3 linked regions of the Oreochromis niloticus genome follow. The protein of the gene in region 2 interacts with the protein of the main gene of each other region in a pairwise test. Links are inferred from orthologs where the notes say so. Each region holds a gene or a part of one and is shown on either strand. Other genes may lie near its edges.

What was found.
Region 1: the proteins of arl6ip1 (region 2) and tufm interact in binary tests that used the Homo sapiens proteins (3 or more experiments, as listed by UniProt). The two-hybrid records come from large-scale screens. The link is inferred for Oreochromis niloticus from reciprocal best matches to the Homo sapiens genes ARL6IP1 and TUFM.
Region 3: the proteins of arl6ip1 (region 2) and sucla2 interact in binary tests that used the Homo sapiens proteins (3 or more experiments, as listed by UniProt). The two-hybrid records come from large-scale screens. The link is inferred for Oreochromis niloticus from reciprocal best matches to the Homo sapiens genes ARL6IP1 and SUCLA2.

What each region holds. Positions count from the first base shown.
Region 1 is NC_031969.2:14,220,052-14,227,973, forward strand, and holds the start of tufm (elongation factor Tu, mitochondrial), read right to left. Parts: upstream 3,023-7,922; 5' UTR 2,927-3,022; coding exon 2,890-2,926; intron 2,155-2,889; coding exon 2,108-2,154; intron 2,019-2,107; coding exon 1,880-2,018; intron 1,763-1,879; coding exon 1,596-1,762; intron 1,478-1,595; coding exon 1,208-1,477; intron 939-1,207; coding exon 806-938; intron 97-805; coding exon 1-96. Other genes in the region: hspbp1 (hsp70-binding protein 1), read left to right, coding at 4,005-4,124, 5,373-5,589, 5,674-5,898, 6,300-6,455, 7,032-7,128, 7,222-7,333, 7,575-7,655. UniProt on the Homo sapiens protein: GTP hydrolase that promotes the GTP-dependent binding of aminoacyl-tRNA to the A-site of ribosomes during protein biosynthesis. Also plays a role in the regulation of autophagy and innate immunity.
Region 2 is NC_031969.2:32,733,583-32,741,005, reverse strand, and holds the start of arl6ip1 (ADP-ribosylation factor-like protein 6-interacting protein 1), read right to left. Parts: upstream 3,011-7,423; 5' UTR 2,881-3,010; coding exon 2,845-2,880; intron 2,069-2,844; coding exon 1,935-2,068; intron 258-1,934; coding exon 138-257; intron 1-137. UniProt on the Homo sapiens protein: Positively regulates SLC1A1/EAAC1-mediated glutamate transport by increasing its affinity for glutamate in a PKC activity-dependent manner.
Region 3 is NC_031987.2:29,466,503-29,474,561, reverse strand, and holds the start of sucla2 (succinate--CoA ligase [ADP-forming] subunit beta, mitochondrial), read right to left. Parts: upstream 3,023-8,059; 5' UTR 2,951-3,022; coding exon 2,867-2,950; intron 1-2,866. Other genes in the region: med4 (mediator of RNA polymerase II transcription subunit 4), read right to left, coding at 4,873-5,045, 5,399-5,530, 5,616-5,702, 5,808-5,865, 6,232-6,402, 7,057-7,123, 7,650-7,720. UniProt on the Homo sapiens protein: ATP-specific succinyl-CoA synthetase functions in the citric acid cycle (TCA), coupling the hydrolysis of succinyl-CoA to the synthesis of ATP and thus represents the only step of substrate-level phosphorylation in the TCA.

The DNA.
Region 1 (7,922 bases), about 19 Mb from region 2:
CAGACTTGAAGCTGCGGTTGTGGCCCACAAACTCACAGTCGTCTCCTTTCTTGATGACGCCCCTCTCCAGAGTGCCCGTCACAACCGTACCCCTACCTGCAACACAAGCGGGAACCTTCAGACTCAAAGTACACGACACTGTTTCTGAACTGAGAGCGAAAGAGTCAGAGATCTGCAATCTTCTTACTGCTAATTGGTAAAATCACTAATGAGTTGTGCTGCTGATGCTCCAAAGCTGTGACTGCATTATGACAAAATTAACTTTGAAGACGTCATTGGTGGGATATGAAAAACAAAAACACCATACAAATGTTTCTTTGTAGCTTTGCTGGGAGCTGCACTGTTCAGTACAGCAAAGCTCTGCAACATGTGACAAAACTGCACAATACATCACTGGAGCATCGATCTCTATGGCAAAGTTGATACCCAGATTTTAAAGCTCAGGTCCTTTTGACTCATTTCACTGTTTGCATATTAATTTCTTGTATATATTTCTTTAAATCTTTATTTGTACTTTGCTTTTTTTTGTACTTTTTTATAATTGTTGTGCATGAAGACAGCCTGAGGAAGTAACGGACCCAATGATGGTTAAAAATTCAGCCTTATTTCTTAAAAGAGTGAATCTTGATTTGGATGTTTGGATATTTTGAGCTCTGCATCCTGGTTTAAAAAGTTTATCATTTTCTTTCGCTTTTCCATTTGCCTACCACTTTACATGACGCAACCAATGGAAATGAAGAGAAATCACCATTATTCCTACCCAATTAGCTTCAGACTGACAATATCAGATAGTGTTTTCTCCTACCTGGGATTGAATAAACCCCTTCGATGGGCAGAAGGAAAGGCTTTTCCAGCTCTCTTTTGGGCAGAGGAACGTACGAGTCCACAATCTCCAGCAGTTTCATCACTGCATTCACGCCCAGCTCAGGAGCTCTGTTCTGAAATAGAGGGGGAAAAAAAATTATAATTAAAACACATCACATTCTAGCTTGAAACTTGTTCTCCACCACTGACGAAATACAAACTTGCCTGAGGTTACCTCAAAATTTTGACTTGACAGCTTGAAAATTCAAATTATTTTCTCAGAACCTGAATATTTCAGATAACCTAAAATTTTGACTTCTGGATGTCAAGATTAAATTACTCTGAAACTTCCCTGACTGACAGAGCTGCGACTGTTTTGCAAGTACAAAGCGTTTCTCCTCACCTCCAGAGCACAGAGTGCAGAGCCAATCACAACGGGTGTGTTCTCGCCGTCGTAGCCAAACTCTGTGAGCAGCTCGCGGATCTCGATCTCCACCAGCTCCAGCATCTCCTTGTCCTCTACAGCGTCCGCCTTGTTTATGAAAACCACCACGTGCTCTACGCCGATCTGCCGGGCCAACAGCAGGTGCTCACGTGTCTGAGGCATCTGGCCGTCAGTGGCTGCCACCACCAGAATGCAGCCGTCCATCTGAGCTGTGCCTGTGATCATGTTCTGAAAAAGAAAAGCAGATGCATTTCTTATAACATCAAACAAACAGGTGGGATTACATCCTGGTAACATCAGGCTGCATCCAGGTTAAAGAAGGGGAAAAAAAAAAAAAAAAGAATACCTTGACATAGTCAGCGTGTCCAGGGCAGTCTGTGTGAGCATAATGTCTGTTGGCTGTGGTGTATTCTACATGTGAGGCGTTGATGGTAATTCCTCTGGCTTTCTCCTCTGGGGCATTGTCAATGTCCTCATACTTCTTGTAGCGGGCCCCACCAGCATCAGCGAGCACTGGGGAGGATCGAATTGAGTGAAACAAATTCACTGTAGACTAAACAAAGTTATTACACACATTAACATGAGACTGTGTCCAGACCGGTGTGACAGCAGCAGCTTGAGTGGGTCTACCTTTTGTGATGGCTGCCGTCAGGGTGGTTTTGCCATGATCGACGTGGCCGATCGTCCCAATGTTTACGTGGGGCTTGTCTCTGCTGTACGTCTTCTTCGCCTCCGCAGCGAAGGTTCGCCGGCTCAGAGGCACAGCACACTGCGTGACAAAGAAGAACCCAATAATTTAACCACTGCAAAAAATCAATGCTTCACAGCGTGCAGCATGCTGTTTGTGCAACTACTTACCAATTTGAAGGAGCTGTGCAGGAGGCTTGGTGAAGAAAGCTGAAGGGCTGAGAAAAGGGAATCAAAAAGTTGGACAAACTTACATAAAGAGTGACTACTTGGTGCCACAACACAATAATTAAAACATTGCCAAACATATTTAAACTATTTACCTTTTTAAAATTCGGAAATACGTATTAATTCTGTGTCATTGAACATTTGGCTATTCATGCCTTCATTTTCCTTTCAATCAGTGCAGGCGTGCCCTCACATAAATGAGATTAGCACTGACGGCCACACACATTTTTCCTGAAAATCTCAGTCAGCATTGGCTGCACAGCTCCGGATGTTTTGCACTCGCACTGGCCGTGAAGCTTCTGTGCCAGACACAGCGCTAATAAAAAGAGTTTTGCATAAACCAGGCAGGTTATATCATGCTAACAGCTGCAGCTAACATTAATCCATTTTGATGCCTTTAGAACCAAAAAGGACGGCTTCACCTCTCTTTAAAGACTACCTATATCAACAGTATGTTTCCCTTCGTGTCTGGTTACCAGGTGCTGATTTTAGTAATCATTCTTCATCCTCGGTTAGTCTTATTGTTAGCTAACCGTCACTGGTAACGTGACCTTGCTCTGCTGTCGGAAGACACAGCATCACATTTTATTTTTCATATTCTTGTACTTCTAAATGTCCGAACAGTGTTTGATATTATGTATAAATCAATAAAGGTGGTGTAAATCAATTAACTGTCAGAAATGCAAACAGAGTGACATAGTTTAAATGAATTAAACAATATTTACCGGACAAACACGCACGCAGCCCCACAAGCGCCGCCATCTTTGCTGGTTAGACAAACCAAAGGCGATCGGAATTCAAGAAAATAATCTCCCAGCCCCAATGATGTCGTTCTTTTACGTACATGCACATGCGCATGTTTAAGTTGGTGCGTAAAATGTTCAAAACAGTAACTATTAACGTAACTACTACTAATACTACTATTATAAATGATTACATTAGACTAAGCAAAAGACTAAAACCCATTAAAACAAGAAAGTATCTGTTATGTAGCTATTATGACAAAAATAAGAGAGCAATCCCAAGTAGCCTGAACTTAATGTTTGTTAATAATATGTTTACTGATATCTAAAAGGTAAATATTATTTTTTACATTCATTATTAAGTTGTGTGTATTTTATAACAGATACATAAATAATACCAAACATATCGCAATCGATATGCCTTTCATAGTTTCTTCTGACACGTTTCTTCTGGGATTTGCATATTTATTTTGATGTAACTAATTCTCTTTGTAAATTGTGCGTACCAGCGTTACTGGATTACCGTAACTATACTAGTATAGGAACATTTGCGTCTATGAATTTTTAAATATTGAGGTAATACTGTCAGTCAGATGTTCACCATTATAATTTTGAGAGGCTGACTTTAAAGCAAAAAATGGAAAGTCTAAAATGACTTTGATTTGAGAGTAAAGAGTATCCAAAAATTACTTTGCTTGCCCATTTGGTTTACTTTTTACGGTAAAACATGGCGCCCCCCTTGCCACTCGTGAGATGAAGAGCTAGCTAGAACGTTCCAGCGCTTTCACGTTTCTGTGTTTATAGAGGGGGAGAGCTGTATCTGAGCTCAGAGAGAAACTTCGTCTGTTAACTTTACGTTGTTTTGGAGTCGGTTTAAAGGTAAGTGGGCAACGATAACCGTAGTTATATGAGGCTAGCAGCAGGTTTTGTATTATTAGCAGAGCTGTATGTTTATAGTAAAGTATGATCCTGGTGATATAAACTGTGGGGCTTTACCTGGTACCACTGCTAGTACACTTAAATTAACTTGAGGTTATTTTGAAATCTTCCTTTAGTTGACTTTCTTTTCTCCACTTTACCCTGTAGCTGTTAACACCATGTCAGAAGATAGGCAGACCAGGAGATATCCCCAGAACCTCCAAGGGGTCCTTCAGCTCGCAGTGGAGGCTGGATCCGCTGCAGAGGGTCCTGCCCCTCCTGAACCCATGTCAGAAGAGGTAAGTACTTGTTCCCTAAGCAGGATCAGGCCAGATGACCTTTGTAGACTTTGTAGCTCACACCAGGACCACTGCAGTGTAACTCTTGTAGCTTAGCCTCATAATGTGGCTTTGACAAAACTGAGGCTTAAATAAGTAGAATAAACCCTCATTTGCATGGGGATATTCAATTCAATTCAGTTTTATTTATATAGCGCCAAATCACAACCACAGTCGCCTCAAGGCGGTTTATATTGTACAGTAGATCCTACAATAATATAGTAATAATAACGTAGTAGAGTGGGTCCAAAAATGATAACAACAACAATAATAAATACTTTTGTTTATACAGGAGCATTTGGTAAGATGTGTTGCTCCACTTTGTAAAACATCCCACCATGAACTTTTAAATTTGATAAGTAAATAAATACCAATGCCATCAATGATGTTCTCTTTTCAGAGTTAAATTCTTAGCTTGATCCATCACAAATGTTTTTATTCAGGTGTCAGCCAATAACTGATACTACTTAGGGGCTCGATATCTTAAAACTATAGTGCTATGTATACTGTTAATTTGCTGTAGTTAGTTTTTCAGGCGTGCTACTTCTTCTTCTTGTGTCCTCCCTTTCTGCAGTTTCCTCAAATTCGGGAAACGTTGCACACCATGCAGCTCTCTGGGAATGACCGTGTTGGTTCTAAAACACTGTTTCAAACGGTTCTGTCTTTGAAATTAAAAAAAAATTCAGCTAAAGAAATTGTAACAATGTTTAAAGATACAGTGTTAAATTGTTTTATGTTAAGTTCTCTGTTTTGTGAAGACACAGCAGTGGCATCATCTCTTAAGTTTGATGCCTTGTTTGTGCTTGAATGTTAAGTGGCTCAGCAGACTAACGAAGAAACATTCTTCTAAAAATGGTCAGGTACAAGGACTGGACTGAAAATCAGTTTTTTAATAAAGAAGCCAATGTTGAAAGAAAAGCTTTGAAAGATCTTTGGAAATCCTGGAGAGTTATTGCTCAACTATTGCTTAAAAATTCAAAGAAAGTCTGGTTTCTTGGAAGTCAAATATAAAGAAATGAGGGGTGACTCAAGACTTTTGTACAGTAATATATAATTGCACATCACTTGAAATCTCATGTGTTTGAGTAAGACACTGATGTCCTCATCCTTTATTTTTTTTGTTAATGCGTGTTTGGAGGTATCACATCAGAGAATTTGAATTCAGCATGACAAACTGCTTCACGCTCTTTTTTTTTTTCTTTCTTCCAGAGGAAAACATGGCTGAGAGAAGCTCTTACAGAATTGTGCAAAGGGCAGATGGATGAAGTCGAGCAGATGAAGCAGTGCTTGGCTGTTCTGCGCAAAGAAGGAAGTGAAAGGGAGAGGGGTGGAGAGGAAGAGAGGGAAGACGATGATGAGGACGATGAGCGGGAAACGGCCTTTGAGATGCTGTCCGAGCTGTGTGAGAATCTGGACAATGCCAGAGGTAATAAATGGTATTAGAGCAGAGGCCACGCTAAAGACAGCATGTGTTCACTGTTGGTTGCTCACCGCATCTTGTCCTCTGCAGACCTGATGACCCTTGGTGGGCTGGAGTTGTGCGTCTCCCAGTATCTTAATCATGCCCAAAGTGGGTTGAGGTGGCGTGCTGCCCAGCTCATTGCCTCCTGTGCCCAGAACATGCCACAGCTGCAGTTCCACTTGCTTAGCATCGGGGCGCTGCCGAAGCTGCTGCAGCTGACAGATTCAGACCCAAACCCCACCGTCAGGGTGAAAGCTCTTTACGCTGTCTCATGTGAGTAGAGCCATAACACACACGTCTGTTTTGCTTCAAAATTGAACTTCATGACAACAAGTCTGCAACAAATTGCTGCACATCAGTCATTTTACATACATGATCCAGAACCTCGGATTGTCCGTGTCACAGTGAGAATTTTAGTGAGGTCAACAGTTGGTTCCCATAGTTGATGTTTTAGATGGACAGGCTATTCAACAGCTATTTTTAGTGGCCAGCCTCCCAAATGTATCACCTATGTTTATGATATTGTTATATCTCATGTTTCCTCTCAATTCAACTTTAACCCTAAATTATCTGCTGCTTTCTTCTTAAGTGCCAAATGGCACATGGCACCGTCTTATTGTCCCAGCTCTGTGCTTCACAACACTCAACAAAACTGTGTCCTGTCGTAATCATAGGTCTGGTTCGAGAGCAGGAGGCAGGTCTCCAGGCCTTCCTGTCCCACGATGGATTCTCCGTGCTGATGCGAGGCATGCAGTCGGAGAACGAGAAGCTCAGAACCAAGTCGGCTTTCCTGTTGCTCAATCTCCTGACGTCACATCCCGAACAGAAAGGTATGGATGGGAAGGACATTCAGACAGGATAGTGCTGTAAACCTGCACCAGTACCAGTAGGTTTACTTTGACAATACAACACTTTGTAGCCTTTTATTAAGACACAACATGGTTTATTAATGTCTCTAACAGCTTATAGAGCCACCTTTTCTGTGGAAAATGAAGATATTTTATTTAAGTTTTTGCACAGCTTTGCTCTTCATCCATGATTAGTCGCCAATATGGCAAGTTCTGCAGTTAAAGGGTAAAATAACATAAACAGTTTTTAAAAAGATTTTTTAACAATTAAATCTTGTGTTAAAACTTTTATACTTTCTCCCTTTTAGTTTTATCTTTGCGGTATGTGTGTTTCTCACTGAGCTTGCTACCTTTGTCCGGGGAAAACATGGAAAAACTATTTTATTCTTAACTACACATACATAGTAGACCATAACAAGAAGAACCACATCAGATCTTTTACTTTGGATTTTTAATTGGTTTACTCGTTAAACATCTATCTAAAGGTTTACAAGCTTTTCTTAAAATATTGCTTGATGTACATAAACTCAAGTATATTCCTGATTATTTCCCCCACAGACACACTTGTCGCCATGGGTATGGTACAGCAGCTGGTATCAGTTCTCCGTACACCGCATTCACCCGTCCATGAACATGTGCTTGGTGCCCTTTGCTGGTAAGAAACATTCATTATGATACTGAAAATCTGACATTATTTCATGGATTGTATTAGTAACTGTACCCGTCCTTGTTTCTGATGGTGGTGTAGTCTGGTGGAAGACTTTCCACAAGGGCTCAAAGACTGCAGGAATCCTGCTCTGGGCCTGGAAGAATTACTCCGACAGAGATCCAAAGAGCTCCAAGGCAAAGAAGAAAGTCAGGTAATTCATGTGTTTGAGAATCAGATCGTAAAACTGGATAGAAATGTTGTGGTTATGCTACAAAATTTAATTTCTGTCATGAAATGTGTCTTTTCCATGTAAAAGAGAGGTGATTGTGGTTAAAGGCTAACTAGTTGTAAACAATGAAGAGATATATAACTGAATTTGTTTAAAAAAATAAAAATAAGAAAGCTGAATCTTCCATTTCTGCCTCTTAAAGTCACATGTTTGTTTCCAACAGGAAGAACTTGATTTCTGTGAGCGACTCAGGGTTATGTGTTTCTCCGGGCAGCAGTCAGATGACGCTGGGATGGATCGTTGATTTTCTTTTTTTCTTTGTTTGCTTTTTGTTGTTTTGTTTTTTTTACCCTGACATGTTTTGGCATCAGTATGAAAAGATAACAGAAAATTCATGAGCTGGGACATGTTTTTTTTGTTTGTTTGTTTGTTTGTTTGGTCTGTTACGACAGTTGCATGTAATCCAGTACCTGGATTTCACTGTGTAAATAATTGTACTGTATATTGTAATGTATAAAACAACTATTTCAGTCCAATATTTGCTATTCTTAATATCTTAACTGTCAACCCA
Region 2 (7,423 bases):
ACTCGGACACCATTTCAAGATGAATGCATGACTCATCCTGCTGTTCAGCTTCCCATAAAGAGTGTGTGATGTGACCGACTGACAAAACAGGAAAACCTGTCTTCATTGGGCCAAAGCAAATATGACCGAGCTCTCACCACTTATTGGAGCCAAACACTCGGGGGGCGAGGGTCGGCACCAAATAGTCAGCCAGGCAGAGCAGCATGACGGTGCAGGACAGGCCGGTCAGCACTGATGGGTCCAAGTAGTAGATGAGCCTGGAGGACGAACACAAAACAGGCAGAACGGGTTTGAACATTTCATCGTTTAAAATCACGCCTTTATTTTTATTTTGTTACAATTTGGGGATATCTGCTCATGAACGCTGGAGCTGCAGTTTTACAAAGCACCTGCAGCTGAAAGACATGAACACTGAGGGTGTGTGAAACAAGCAGGAAGGCATCAGAAACAGTGCAGCAGTGTTCTAGTCTGGATTCACCTTCAGTAGATTTCAGGAATCGCTAATAACGGCCCAACCTAAGCTCATTTAGCAGAATCTGCATTGTTTTGCTTTGTGTTTCAACAGTGTGGAAAAGATTAACATTAATCTGAGTGTTCTGACAACCAGCTGGAAAACTGTAATTAGGACACTGGTTTTACATCACTGTAGGCTTATATTACTTGTCACAGGCCTGCTGATCATCTTAATTAGTAATAAGTCAAAACTCAATGCCAGAATCAGCCTGCCAAAGCCTCCATTTCACCCCGAGGGACGGTTACACTGCTGTTCTTTCTGTGGTGACGCCTGCTTTACTAACCAAGAGCACAAGTGTCTGAAAGAGAGTTGTGCGACTTGTCAAGTTTAACAGACAAAATTATTGTCATTTTGGATTTCTTCGGTTCATCGATCTAAAAACAACTGAGGCTGTTGGTTAGCAGTTTTGTAATTGCAGTGCCGGGTGGCGCTCCTCTGACAACATCATGGTCTGAGCTTGAACACTACAATAAACAGTTAAAATGTCTACCGTGGTTTTTCTAGTGGTTTTAATAAGAGCCAGAGTGTGCGTGTGTGTGTGCGCGTGTGTTGACCACAAGCAGCACACTGAAAGTGGACCTGTATTAGCTCTGCACCCTGCTCACTCATGGTTGTAATTATACGACTCATTTACGTTTACAAAAGCAGACAAAACTCCAAAGCTAACTCAGTTCAACAGAGCAAACATAGAAATGGCTGCTGTGCACCACTAACACGTTACACATCCTAAATTACACCATTTAGAGCTGCTGCGCAATTCTAGCAGTATGTTAGCAGACAGGAAGGCCTCTGTGCAGTACAGACAGATGAAGGATGAAAAACGAGGGGAGATACTCCAAGAGAGGAGATTTCACCTGGAGACAGAATCACCTGTACACAACAGTTGTAAGAAAAAGTGACATTACAACCAACCCAAAAACAGAAAAGACTTACAGTTATGATGTGATTATAGCCCTATGTCAAATACTTAAAGTAGTTTTTGAATAATTTATACTCCTGACAGAAGAAGGTAAAACTACATAAAGACCCACTTAAACAAAATATACTACAAAAAAAATAAATCCATGGAATCCACCAGAATCGTAAAATACTGTGATGCAAATCTTTGGTCAACCAACCATCAGACTGCTGATTAAATCAGGAAGATAGCTGACCAAAGACATAACACTGTGTGCTGTTAGCTTTACTGGGGGTTTCAGAATAAACCTCTCTATACTGGAAGAAACAAATATGAGAAATGCTACAGTGGTTTACTTTGCTCAGCCCATCTGAGTTCAAACCAGGCTGCTTTTAGTCGCTGGCAGATGTAAAATATAAAAATTTAATATAAGCCTCTCCCTGCTCTCAGATAGCCATCACTGCTGAGAGGAAGGAAACGTGTGGTGCCAGCTGTGTAGCGCACACTCTGTAGCAGACTCACAGGAAGAGCACGGTGGTCGCACCCATCAGCGCTCCGGGGAACCAGGGCTTCTCCCAGCGCAGGACCTGATCCCCAGCCAGGATCACCTCTCGCCAGCACTGCAGCTGCTCCTCCAGCTGGGCCGTCTCCTGGGCCTGAACACACAAACATTTACACATTACCTAACTGACCATCAAACTGTGTGATATCAGTGTGATCTGAGAGGAGCGTGTACTCAGGAGGGCAGTCTCTCCAGGAGTTAGTATAAAGGTGACAGTACTGTGCTGCCTCTGGAAGAGCGGCTAGCACCTTTGAAGTCATATGATGTGGGTTTATCCTGCTGTGTTTCATACACAGAGCAACTGAATGTAACGATACTCGTTTATATGGCTCTCAGTTTGTGTGTTTTGTGGCCTAGAAGTCTATTTGAGAAGCAAATTAATAAACAGGGTGTGTGTCTTTGGTGATAAGACGGCGCAGTGACAGAGCACTACACGTAGAAATAACCGGGGACAAACACAGGCTGTCAAACCACGTCGAATGAGCGTGTGATGACTCGATCTCAGTTTTTTTTTAAAAGCTTTAAAATGATTTCTGCGTTAGGGCGAGGCAGCAGCTCCACAAAAAGGAAGCGTCCCCGCTACTGAAGCTAAAATAAGCATGCTAACTAGTCAGCTAGCTAAGGTTAGCTGCGGTCAGCGGCAGCACGGACGGATAAGCGATCGGGGTTAAATCGCTTAGCTTAGACTTCTCAGCTGCCCGCATGTGTAAAGTTCACACTATTTACACAAATCTCTAAACAGCGCAGTAGTGTTAGCGCCGTCAGATTAGCAGCGACGGGTAAGGCTAACGCTCCTGCTGCAAACACGCCTACATCGAACACGAGCCTTTAAATTCGCCATTGTGGGTTTTAAAAATGCTTCATACTTACCATCAAGTTCATGCTTTTGTTGTCTCCTTCCGCCATTATCGCTAAACTGAGCGGTCTACTTTCTAATGTGGAGTTCTTTTAAGAGTTTTCGGAGAAACGACCCACAGAAGGACAGCACCCTCCGCTCCCGTTAGCTTCAGCGCCACTAACGGTCGAGCCGAGGCAGGATGTTTTTAACTGAAAAACATACGTCACACCTGTCCATAGAGGCACTCTGGGTAATGGAGTTCCAATATTGATCCTTGCCTGTCGAAAACATCTTTTTTTTTTTTTTTTTACATAATCTTTTATTCACAATCATAAATTTTATCAAGATAAAATAAAAAATGACAATGAATATATTCAAAAATTATTTATTATTCTTTAAACTTCCCATATTCATAAGAACAAATTAATATAACTACAAAGAAGTGTTAGCTAATTAGCTAAAGCGAAAGATTAATACATTAATAATAATTTAATAAGATACAATCTGATATGAAATCCAAGAGAGTTAAAGCATACTTTTAAATTAAAAATATTAAGTTACTGCATAATAGAGCATATACGTAACAGAGTACACCATTTCAAATTTAACAACAAAAAATAGAATTTAAAATGTAACGCAGCATTTTAAATTCATTTTAAATGAACAACAGCTAAACACATTAAGAAAAAGGAAGCATTACAGGAGCTTATTTTAATTTGGCATTTTAAGAATAAAGTTAAATCCCATTTTTAAAGAGGAAAAAAGAAAGAAAACTTTGAGAAAATATCAAAAAAAATTATAAGTTTCTCTTTACTTTTATTGAAAAAAGCGTTACAGAAATGATGTCACCATTAAAATTAAAGGCATGCTCATTTTTGCGCTTTACTGACACTTTCTGCTGAGAAAATACACGTTTTTTATTGCATTTTATTACAGTTTAAAGTTTGTAATGAAGTATCTGCAGCGCGTTAACACAGTCCAAAAGCCATTAAACAGCCCCCTCTACAGGATAAAGATCATTTTTAAATTCCACATCCACCTCGGTCTTCTGGGACAAGTAGAAACTTGAAATGTTATCAGGTTAATGAAAACTACCATTTATTTTAATTTGGGAGATTTTATAAATTAAAAAGAAATCAGTATTGTAAAATGAAAGGAAACTAGTTCACTACAGGAAGGTCTTGCTTTGTTTCTTCACGTGATAATCCAGCTTCTTTACATCCTCTGCTGTGACCTCTATCTCTACGCCTTGGTGTTGTACCTACATTATCATAATAATGTTGATCAACATTGCAACTAATGAATCATGTTGTTGTCATAGTTTTGCAATATGATAGGATTTTTTTTTAAATTCCTTTGTTTATATAAAACTTTCTTCTGGAACAAATGGTCTGCAGTCCAAGTGTTTTTATACAATTTATACAATACAATAAATATATGATCAATTCTGGTTTAGTGTTAGCCACCGTCATTTAATGCTAACTGCACGCTCAGACAACATCACTGGTCAGTTGTGACGCTGATCTTGGACCACCATCGTTATGATGATGTAGGAACAACGCCAAGATGTCAGATCATGCTACTGTTACGTCCGTCTCCCTCATTCACACACGTGTAAAGCATTCCTCCCTACTCTCACTACAAATCACAATGTTGTCTGTAAACATCATAGTCCATGACCCTGTGATCTCCCCCACCTTGAATCTCATGCCTGCACACCTCAGGACCCCTCATCACTGTCCTCGTTCATCCTCTTAACATGTCACATAGACATAGACAGCATGAAAATAATTTATTCCAGCCTTGTGTTAAGACAGAAGGAAGGGGGAGTAACAGAACTGTATTGAACATTTTAAAAAGGAGAGAGATGCAGCTTGTCTTCTGTTTTTGGCACTCAAAGGACACAAACCTAGTTAGGCCTATAAGAAATTATGTTCTCAATACATTTCTCCTCATATTTTTGTAAATTCTTCATAAAATAAACTCATGTTCTGATCTATATATAAATAATGTCAAAGAGATTTGACATCCCAGGCTCATCTTTACCAAAAAGTGGAGTAAAAGGACTTAACATCCAGCTCCTTTATTGTTAAAGACACACTGAGTTTTAAAACAGAGTACATGATTTTGAAACAGTTAATGATTTATAATTATAATCAGAAAATAATCAAGTATAAGTCTGATCAATATAATGAATGAGAACTGTAGTTTGAGTTTAGCGTAATAACGTCCCTTACAATCCAAATTTCAGTTTTTGAGATGCCTGATTTTTTTCACCCAGATTCCAGGAGCATTGTTATGACTATGATGTATCCTTGACTCAGTGTGTATGTGTGTGTGTGTGTGTGTGGGAGAGAGAGAGAGAGAGCACAGTGGATAGAGTGTGCGTGTAAAAGAGTGAAATGTGACTCCGGCCCATCATCATGCATGATTCTGAACAAAACAAGTGATACTGAGTATACTGTGAGTCACAAATGCCGAGTCATGCAGAGAAAAAGTATTCCTAACTGAGTTAAAAAGAGATCAAGTTAGAATCATAAAGAGTGATGATGTTCATCCTACAACAACATAAAAACTGAATGAAAAGTAAAGTATAGTCATTTGTGACTGATAATGAAAGTGACTGAACTTTGCTTTAAATCATGTATTTGAAAGGCTGTAGAGAGAGAGCAGCATAGAGTGATGTAGGTGTCATAGATGTCTCGTGGAGATCAAGGAGGGGAGGATAGAGAAGAAGAACATGCACAAACACCCCATGCAGACGGAATAAGCTGTTCTTCCTCTAGTTTCAGTATCAGAAGATCTGGGATTGGGAATTCACAGTTGGAAATTACAGCAAAAAACGCCAGCTGATCAAAGTGCAATACTGTGGACTCACAAATTGGATTTATATATTTTTTGGCCTTTTTTCTGCTTATTTTTGTTGGATTATAACGTCAAAGCATTTGTCTGTTTCCTGCTGGATTGCAACTTCCAAGGATTTGACTCCCTTCCTATTTGGATTTTATCGACACGGAACGGATGATGACGGATGTGTCTGAAGGACTGCAGCTGACCTGCAAGGCCACCCAGGCAAGCACACCTTTAGAGGGAGCAGGATCGACATTCAGAGGACTATAAAGCTGGCTCCATCCAAGGTATGCAGTGCCTACTGGATGATACCCATAGGATCAGAGACTCGGACTTTGCAAACAGCCGGTTCCAGACTTTCATGTATTGGGGATAACGACAGAACGGTGTAGTTTTTGTTTTGTTTTGTGAATATGGTTCTGTCTTTCAGAACCTGAACGCGTCAGTCTTTATCCGCGCCTGCGTGCTTCTGACGTCACTGTGAGTCTCGTTCTTCCTGCGGTTGGAGACCAGAGGGGCTATCTGAAAGCTAACGGAGCTAGCAGCGTTTCTTTATCTCTGCATTGTTTTAAAGACACTGTTATTATAATCTAATTTCTGTGATCGTGTGATTGTAAGGGACCTTATTAACCGCCAAATTATCTCAGACGCCGTTTTCTCTTCGCCCCCGCCCGGAGAACAAGCTGGTACGTATCAAACACGTTAGCTATATTAGCTTCGCTGTGTGTTGAGAGGCCTTTAGAAACATGGCGTTACATTCGCCAGTTGGTAAGGAAACCAAATGTCAGAGAAGCTGCATTTACTCCTTTAATATATATATATATATATATATATATATATATATATATATATATCTGCGTATCACTTCGGTTCTGTTGGCGCTAGTCATCATAATTGAGCTTATTTAACAATCAGGCGCAACAGCGGGCCTGTTATGTCGCACGTGTTAGTGCGCCAAAAAATTACTGTTAGCGGTAATAAATTCAGATCAAATGAAGAAGAATTCACGTTAAACACGAGCGGAGACGCACACCGGCCCCCACAGCGTGTGGTAACCGGTTCAGAGGCTGCTCCAGCCTGCGGAGAACCGAAGCTTCAAACAAACCCGTGTCAACAAAAAACAAAAAGAGTGCGAGAAACGGATTTAATGACACACCTGTGACAGTCTGAGGCTTTAAACAGGTAGTAGCTAATAATCTTCAGACACTGCCAGTTTTATAACGTCTACCATTGCATCAGAATATTTGGTTATTAGCAGCGGAAGCGTTTTATGAGAAAAGTTCTTGTTGTCGAACCGTAACCACATCCTGAAAGATTTCTAAAAGTTATCTTACCTCAGTGAGAATTTCTTCAGCTGCTGTTCAGGATCAGGGAGCTGTCGGCATAATTGTAGGAACAAATACTGTCTGTACAGGTTTTCCTACTCCTACCTTTTATACTATTGTTTTATTTTTATTTATTGATTTTAACCCGTATAATAGTGTCTTTATTTTTACACTAATCTTGTTTTTTAATTTAAGTTAAAGTATTTTAAGATTATTTTTTTTTTAACGTAATTCTACATTTTTGTTTAATATATTTTTACTTTGGATCTTTACTTGTACAGTACTTTATTCCACACACATTTTTAAAATTTATTTAATTTTTCGATTTTTTTTTAAAATTTTATATTTACTTTAATTGCTTTTGCAGACTTTTATTTAAGCATAAAGAACAATTTAAAAAAGTTAAACATGCCTTCCAGCACTTCACAACAAAGCC
Region 3 (8,059 bases), on a different chromosome or scaffold from region 2:
GCACACTCGTTAAGCAAAAGCTGAAGAACTTTTGCTCAATATTGCTAGAGCAACATGTGAAAATCACAGATACTAAACCCACAAGATAAAATTCCTACACCACAAAACATTACCATCCTTAGAGGAAGAGAGAATCATTCACAGTCCGTAGGACCACAAAAGTAACACTGGAAATTTTAACAAGGATGTGAAACAAAGTGTTACTCGAAGCATGTCAGCTGGGCATTAGACAATCACGTTTATTTCCTCAACTAAATCAGTGGACCAAAAGAAAAATACAACTTTTCATTTTTGGTCAAGAAAAAACAAAAAACAGTGCATGAAATTCCAGATTTATGCAGGTTGAAGCATGGAAAAAAAAAAAAAAAAGACTGGCTGCTTTATTAGGTACACCTGCTTCACATATTTACTTATTAACACAAATATCTAATCAGCATTTAGGCAAATAGGCATGGTCAAGACAACCTGTTAAAGTTCAAACTCAGTATCAGACCAGAGAAACAAAGCGATTTAAGTAACTGTGATGGTGGAATGGTTGCTGCTGCCAGATGGGCTTTGTCTGAGTATCAGAAACTGCTGATCTGCACCTCTAGGGTTTACTGAAAAAGAAAACATCCAGTGAGTGGCGGTTCTCTGGGTAAAAATGCCTTCTTGTTGATGTCAGAGGTGATAGGAGAATGGTCAGCTGCTTTGAGCTAACAAGAAGGCAACAGTAGCTCCATTAACCACTCAGACTAAAGCAGCAGAAGCTCACACCAGGTGCCACTCCTGTCAGATAAGAACAGGAACTGAGGCTCACCAAAAACAGTCAACAGAATAATGATTCTGGATTTTTGCTGTGATATTCAGATGATAGCATCAAAGCTGACCGTAACAGGCTCCATCCTGCCTTGTTTCAATAGCTGAGGCTAATGAGGTGGTATAATAGTGTTGGGAATATTTTCTTGGAACATTCTGGTTCCTTAAGTACAAACTGATCATCATTTAAAAGCTCTCACTGTACTCAGATGGCCTCCACGGTCACCAGATCTCATTCCAACAGAGTACCGTTAGGACAGGACGGAACAAGACACTCACACCATGAATGTGCAGCTGACAAATCTGCATCTGTGTGATGCTCCATGTCAATATGGACTAAAATCTCTGAGGAATGTTTCCAGCCACTTGTTAAATCTGTGCCACGGACAATTAATGCAGTTCTGAAGACCAAAAGGCGTCCCCCCAGGTACCAGTATGGTGTACCTGTGACTGAAGTAAGTGTTTAGCTAAAACAAAACAAGACATTTGAAGAACTAAACCTGTAATGGTTTTTGAGGTTTCAGATACCAGACAATTAGTCAAACATTACTTCGTTCTGTTACCTTTACACACTCTATAAAATTATATCACAAGCAAAAGTGTGTGTAAACAGACATTATTAACTCTAATAGGTGTGCACACACTATCAAGATTACAATGAACAGAAAAAAAAGGGAGCAACTGAAGACTTTTTGTTGGCTACTCAAGTAACACTTTTAAAGTCCCTCTTGCAACCACATAATGTGTAGCACATGTAGTATTTCACTGTTACACCATTCAAAGTGAAAAACCAGAACAATACTGCAATTACAATATACATTATATCACATTTCCAGATGGATAACTCAAAAATTGCTATTGATGAATATAAGTGTAGGCAAACTGTCCTGACAAGTAGCCTAAAAAGAATGAAACCATTTAAAGATCACTGTTCTTTTTCGTTGATCTATATTACACCTTTCAACCATCTTTCAAACCAGTATACTATAAATTTTTTAGCTGAAAAAAAATGCAAATATTTTGTCACTAAACAGTGTATTCTGAGTTTTGGAGAAAAGAACTGAATGCAGTGCTTTTAGAGAGCTTCAACAACCTGCAGATACCTTTTTAGTAAAACAAATGTAAAGCTTTCCTGATGTTATCTGAACGGAATGTGTCAAAATAAGTTTTACATGCATTTCAAACTTTCAATAAGATGACACAGAGACTTCTGTTAAGAATGCTGATACTTTTACCACCGATAAGACAAAACACTAAAACCAGCTGTTTTGTATTGTGTAAGTCCTCTTCATGCTTCCAAAACAGCTCCGGACTGCCAGAGCACAGCCATGAGACCACTGGGTTTCTCCTGTGGTGTCAGGTGTCTGCAGCGATGTCTAGGCTGGTGGTGTTAGAAGAACATCCACCAGAGTGTCGAGACCCAAAGCCTCCCACCGATACGACATAAATAACGTCATTCTGCTCGGTGTAGAGTATTCAGAATTTTCCTGGTCAGGCTCTATCTTATGGGGGCCCTGGTGTAATGGACTCCCGGTTGAATTGCGCGCTCTTCCCGGTTAGATCTCTTCCGTCATTTTATCTTGCTGTTCCCCCCGTTGTATATTTACAGCGTATCTCTGCGGTGAACGCTGTTTATGCTTCCGAGCCTGAGCGGATTTGTCCAGTTAACTTTCCAAGAAGACCCAGCGGGACAGATGTGACAGGGGAGGAATCGCAGGGATGGAAGCTGTAGCAGCTGCCGGTGGAGGTCACTGAGCTTCACTGAGCATATCCTCCACCAAGAATGCCGTTCACAGCCACACGAAGTGCACGGCTACAGAAAAGACTAAGGGCACAGGGATTCCTTGGCCTTTTACTGCTTGATCTGCAGATTTGACAGCCGGCCATGCTAACTATGTGCTAGTTAGCGTGTTAGCCAAAATAACGGAAACTCAATGGAGTTGTGCTAATGTCAAATTTGACCCTGTCAGATTCGGAGAACTTTTAACCCTCGGGGAAGGTGTGGTGCCATAACAGACACATTCCTCGACAGCCCAAACGTTCTCCTCCATTGTGGATACACACTTACCTTACAAGCGGAGCTAATAGTGTTTCTAGCCCCTGAAGTTCTCAGGCTAGCCGTCAAACGGCCGCAAATCAGGGACGTCGCCATGTCTCCCTCTACAGCAAAGTGGATTGAACACGCATGCGTAGTGCAATTCCAAAGACACCCTCCCCACTGGCAATTTCAAATGCTGTCGGAAATTCCACAATTGACGTTCAGTCCCATGAAAGGAATATTATGGCCACATTAATATCTATCTATCTATCTATCTATCTATATGATTATTCTGAGAATAATCGAAAAACCTTCTTGAGAAAAAAGTCAAAATACTATTTTTTTTTAAAACTCGAATGAGTATTTTGAGAATAAAGTCGAAATGTAGAGATTAAAGCCCTCTGCAAAGTGCCTTGCGTAGATGAGCAAGTAAAATCGTACTTCAGAATCGATTTACGTTACAAGTAAATTGTTTATTTTTAACCATAAACACGGTGTGCAATCTCCACATTTCGCCTTTTTCCCCTCAAAATAGTTTTTCGAGTGTAATGATGAAATTTCGGCCGAAATCTCAATATGAACAAAATTTTTTATTGTTTTTTTCTGAATCTGGCCCTTTTACTACCATTGTACAGTGCTTAGGATGAATGACTGCTGGTGTGTGTTCAAATATCTGAAGACACGTGTACTTACTTTAAGGAATAAAAATGAGCATTTAAAAAGTAGCTAAATGTATTTATTTGTTTTAAATATCCAATTCATGCCTATTTCCCCCTTTTCATAACACTGAAAACACTCAAATTGGCTACGTCACATAATTTTAATTGCATACTGCAAAAACAAATCTTTATTTCAATCTTTAACCACAGTATACAACAACATAGTGTTTTACAATGAGTTCCTAAAGGCAGCACTATCATTGCCTCAACATACTGTAAATAAAGACTCCTTCCGACCTTTAACCTAAATAAATACAATTCTTAGTGTCAAGTATAAACTTGTAAATTAATAAACGAAGCCATATCTCATGGCTGGTTTTTAAAAAAAAAACAAAACAAAAAAAACATGTAGGCACCGTGTTGCACTCTTACATTAGTTCCACTTCTATGTAACAAGAAATGAAACCATATCTACCCAGTGCTCATTTCTGGCTTGTATCTCTATTATCTCCTCATCTTTCCACTCAAAAAAGTTGCCAAATGCAAGATGGCCCTGATGTACTTATTGCGCTTTTGCATTATTTTCTACTTCCACTTCCAGTGGGAAATAGTGTTCCAGCACATATGTGTCAGTTCTAATTTTCAAATTTAAGATTTGACAATTAAAAACATACAGACAACACCTTGCACCATGAAACGTACTGAACCGTAATGGATGAGATGATCTCTGACTGTATCTGCTTCCATCTAATGGTGTTCAGGAACATTTGAAAGTTGGTGTTCCTAAACATTAATAACAAAACAACAAATCCACATTCCAGACACAAAAAAAAGAGTAGAAAAATAGTATTCAAAAAGTATTTATTTACAAGACTGAGTATTTACAGACATATTTACACAACTTATATACTACGTTGCAAACATTCTGACCGTGACCAACTAAAATTAGATATCAAGTCTCTCACACACACACACATACACACGGTGTCACCAAAGAGCAAAAGAAGGCAAATTATTGTGGCTCTGGTCTTTGTTTTCTGAAGGATATTCTTTGATCTGTCCAGAATGACAAGTTCATTTTTGCTAGTTCTAGTTTATACAGTAGTTTCACTGAACTGTATAGTAACACCAATTAGCCTGGTTCTGTCCAAAGGGAACATAATCCACCTACTAACACCATAAACTCACTAATATTCAAAAAGGGTAAATTTAAAAAATCAATTTCTCACAGGCACAATAAATGACTGAAGCTGAAAATGCCTGCTCAGCTGTTGCTCGCTGGTGAGCTCTGAGTCCAACATACAGACACACACACACACACACACACACACACACACACACACACGTCTCAGCGTCTCTTGACTCTGAGACACACTTTTAGTCGGAGTCACTACTGCTGCTGGAAGAATCTGTGGACATGGCCTCTACATCATCTTCGTTCTCCTTGTTGTGACCCGGAGGCTCCAGGCCAAAGTCATTGCCGTGGTGAGGGGGCAGCATCCCCACTGAGACATCAGACGACTGCCACGGGTAATGAGGCGTCAGGACGTCTGAAGTGACACGAGAGAAAAGTGGTTATTCTGTGAAATGCCAGACACTGACTGACACTACTTATCTCAGCTCCCTTATATAGTATCTGAAAGCTGGCACTTTTTGCCAAGTTTCTTATGTTACAGAACATGATGTGGATGCAGTCTGAATGGCAACAAATAAAATCTGTGTTCAGTGTTTATACTTGATAAAAAGAAAAATAATGGATCCATCCTTTAACTTTTTATCATTATAACGATAAATTATTAACTTATACATTTTGAAATCACTGTAACAAACCTCTGACCTCATCTACAATCTCTTTGCCAGGAGGCATGGGCACTCCTTTCTTTAACTGCTCAGCTGGACTTACCTGGTAACCTCCCAGCAGCTAATGCATCTCCTGGCAGATGCCCATTCACACCATTGGTGGACAGGTTGGCCATGTGACCAAGCATCCCACTACGCATTTCCAGGTCGGTAGGGTACGGTCTGCGTGGATCACCTGTCAAGTATGATGACAGTGAATGAAGCTGAACATAACTTTTTACCAACACCCGGTGGGAGCTACAAGAGAGCCTGGCACATACCTGGCACCCAGTTGAGAGGAGCACACACAGCGTTACTGGCACTGATTCTGTGAGCATACTTGATGATTTCTTCTGATGAGATGCTTCCTGCAGAGAACATGTAAACAGTGTCAATTTATGAGCAAGACATCAAAGAGAAAACCAGCCATCAAACACAGCTTTCACCAGAACGTGTCGGGAGTGTTCCCTCACCTTTCCTGGCTCTTTCAATGGATTTCAGTTTCTCTTTTGCCTGGTAAACAGCAGTGGCCTGAAAGAGATACACAGAAATATATCAGTCCTCTCTATCACTTGTCACATGATGTTAGAATTTAAAGAAGATGTAGTTTCTGTTTATCATGACTCTTCATATGCTGGCCTCATTATTTTAAACCTTGACCATGTTTAATATGTACATCTGTAACAAAGTAAATCAGAAAAAGAAGAGAATCATAGGCCCCTTTACATTTACAATAGCAACACTATAACCCTGAACGCCTCTGCTGTAAGAGCACAGTGTCAGCTACACCAGCATACTTAAAACATTTGAGCATTTATTTCAATCTGTCAGCGTTGCCCTGCTCTGGATGAAAAAAAAAAAATTAAAAATTAAAAACAACAGACAAGCCAAACCCACCAGGATGTGTTCTGCTTCCTTCAGTTGTTTCTGGAGCTGCTGGATGTCACTGTCTCTCTTCTCCACCTCCTTCTCCAGCAGTTGCATCTCCTGGTGAACCTTCCCCTGCTGCTGTGCCACCTCCATCAGCTCCTGAAACTCCTTGTCCCTCTGCACCAACAGCTCCAGAATCTTATGGATAAAGCATATACACATTCTGTTATCAAAGATTTCCTATTTGATACGCTTCATACAGGTTACTGTAACTAACTAAAATCAGTCAAGTCTAACTTGTAAAATAATTTTAGGCATTCTCTGGAGACTCAGACACAATAAAAGGTTCAAAAGTTATGAAAGATTTATGGACAAGACGACAGAAAATCAGTTGGAAGGAACTAAATATCTTCAAATGTGACCGCATTAAAATTAAATGCTTAAATCTAAAAAATTATGGTTAGCAATTAAGCACAGGGTTTGTCCTTAAAGAAACAGTGATCCTGTATCAGTGATCATGTCTCACCAAAACTTTAAAACAGCAAAAAGCAAAAAACTTAAGACTGTGCAAGTCCACAAAGAACTTAAAGATCAAGTACCAGAAACTGGAAAAATACAGACACCGAGTGGCAGACAAGTATCAAACTGGACAGTGTTTCACAACACTGACCAAATATATAGCTGGAGACATTTTAGAATAGCTGCCACATAGTGAGACTTGCTTGTAGAAGGCCTTTGGCTAAGCTTTGATCACCACTAACCCTAAGACTACACATGGTCTGACGGTCACTGTGAGGGTCATTAGTTTGTTTAAATCTCGGTGTGTCAACTGCAGGCTGAGTGGGGTGTTACCTGCGTGTCCTCTCCAGGTTGAGGCATTTTCTGACTCCTGGACAGGGCCAGCATCTCTATCAGCTCCCTGAAATGAACGCACACACAATGAGAAATGGGTCAAACAGCACAACTCAATCCAACAAATCAATTTCTATCTTTATATATTTATTTACTTTTTAAAGCTCATACTGACGATCGTTTTCTGTACGCCTATGTTCACTTTGTTTCTCTGATTAGTCATTTTGGCCATTCTTGTGGTAGTTTCCTTTTAAAAATGACTATTAGCCGCTGAGTGTAGTACCTACAAACTCTTCAGCAACCTTGTTTTATAAAATGGACACACTCAGTCTTCTAACTGCTAAAAGTTTCCAAGAAAAGACTTAGAACAGTGTTTCAGGTTGTTTCAAATCCCAGGGTTCGTTATCTTTCTTTCAGAAAAGCCGTTGTTTCGGCCAGTGAGCGGCATGTCTGCTAGTAATCAGCACAAACTGGGGGTGCTAGTTCACGGCTCCAAATATGAGTATTTTATCTCTTCACAGATAAAATACGGATAGCTTACCAAACCGTTTACACGAGACACAAGAAAGCCCCCACACGAAGTTTAATTTTACCTGGATAAAACCTCCAAATCATCCAGCACAGACAGTAGTCTCTCCTTCGTCGATTTCTCCGCCGCCGCCATGTTTACTTTCTTTCCTCTGGTTTGCGCAAGACAGGAAATGATGTTCCAACATGCTAATGCTTCTTCTTCTTCTTCTTCTTCTTTATTGTTTTCGGGCAATTTGCGTTTTGGTCTCTAGGGTATGCTAGAGATATGACTCCTGTTCTCACTTCCGTAGCATTTGTTGGCGTTATTACATTAGTATTATCGGCAGCCCCAAAAAAACAAACAAAAAAAAAGTATTATTGGCAGCCATATTCTAATCTAGACTTATGGTGCCTTATTTATATATCTATAATTTTCAATAATTTGTACTAAGTTCATCTACTCCAAATAAATTCCTCCCGTTTTTTTGTTTTT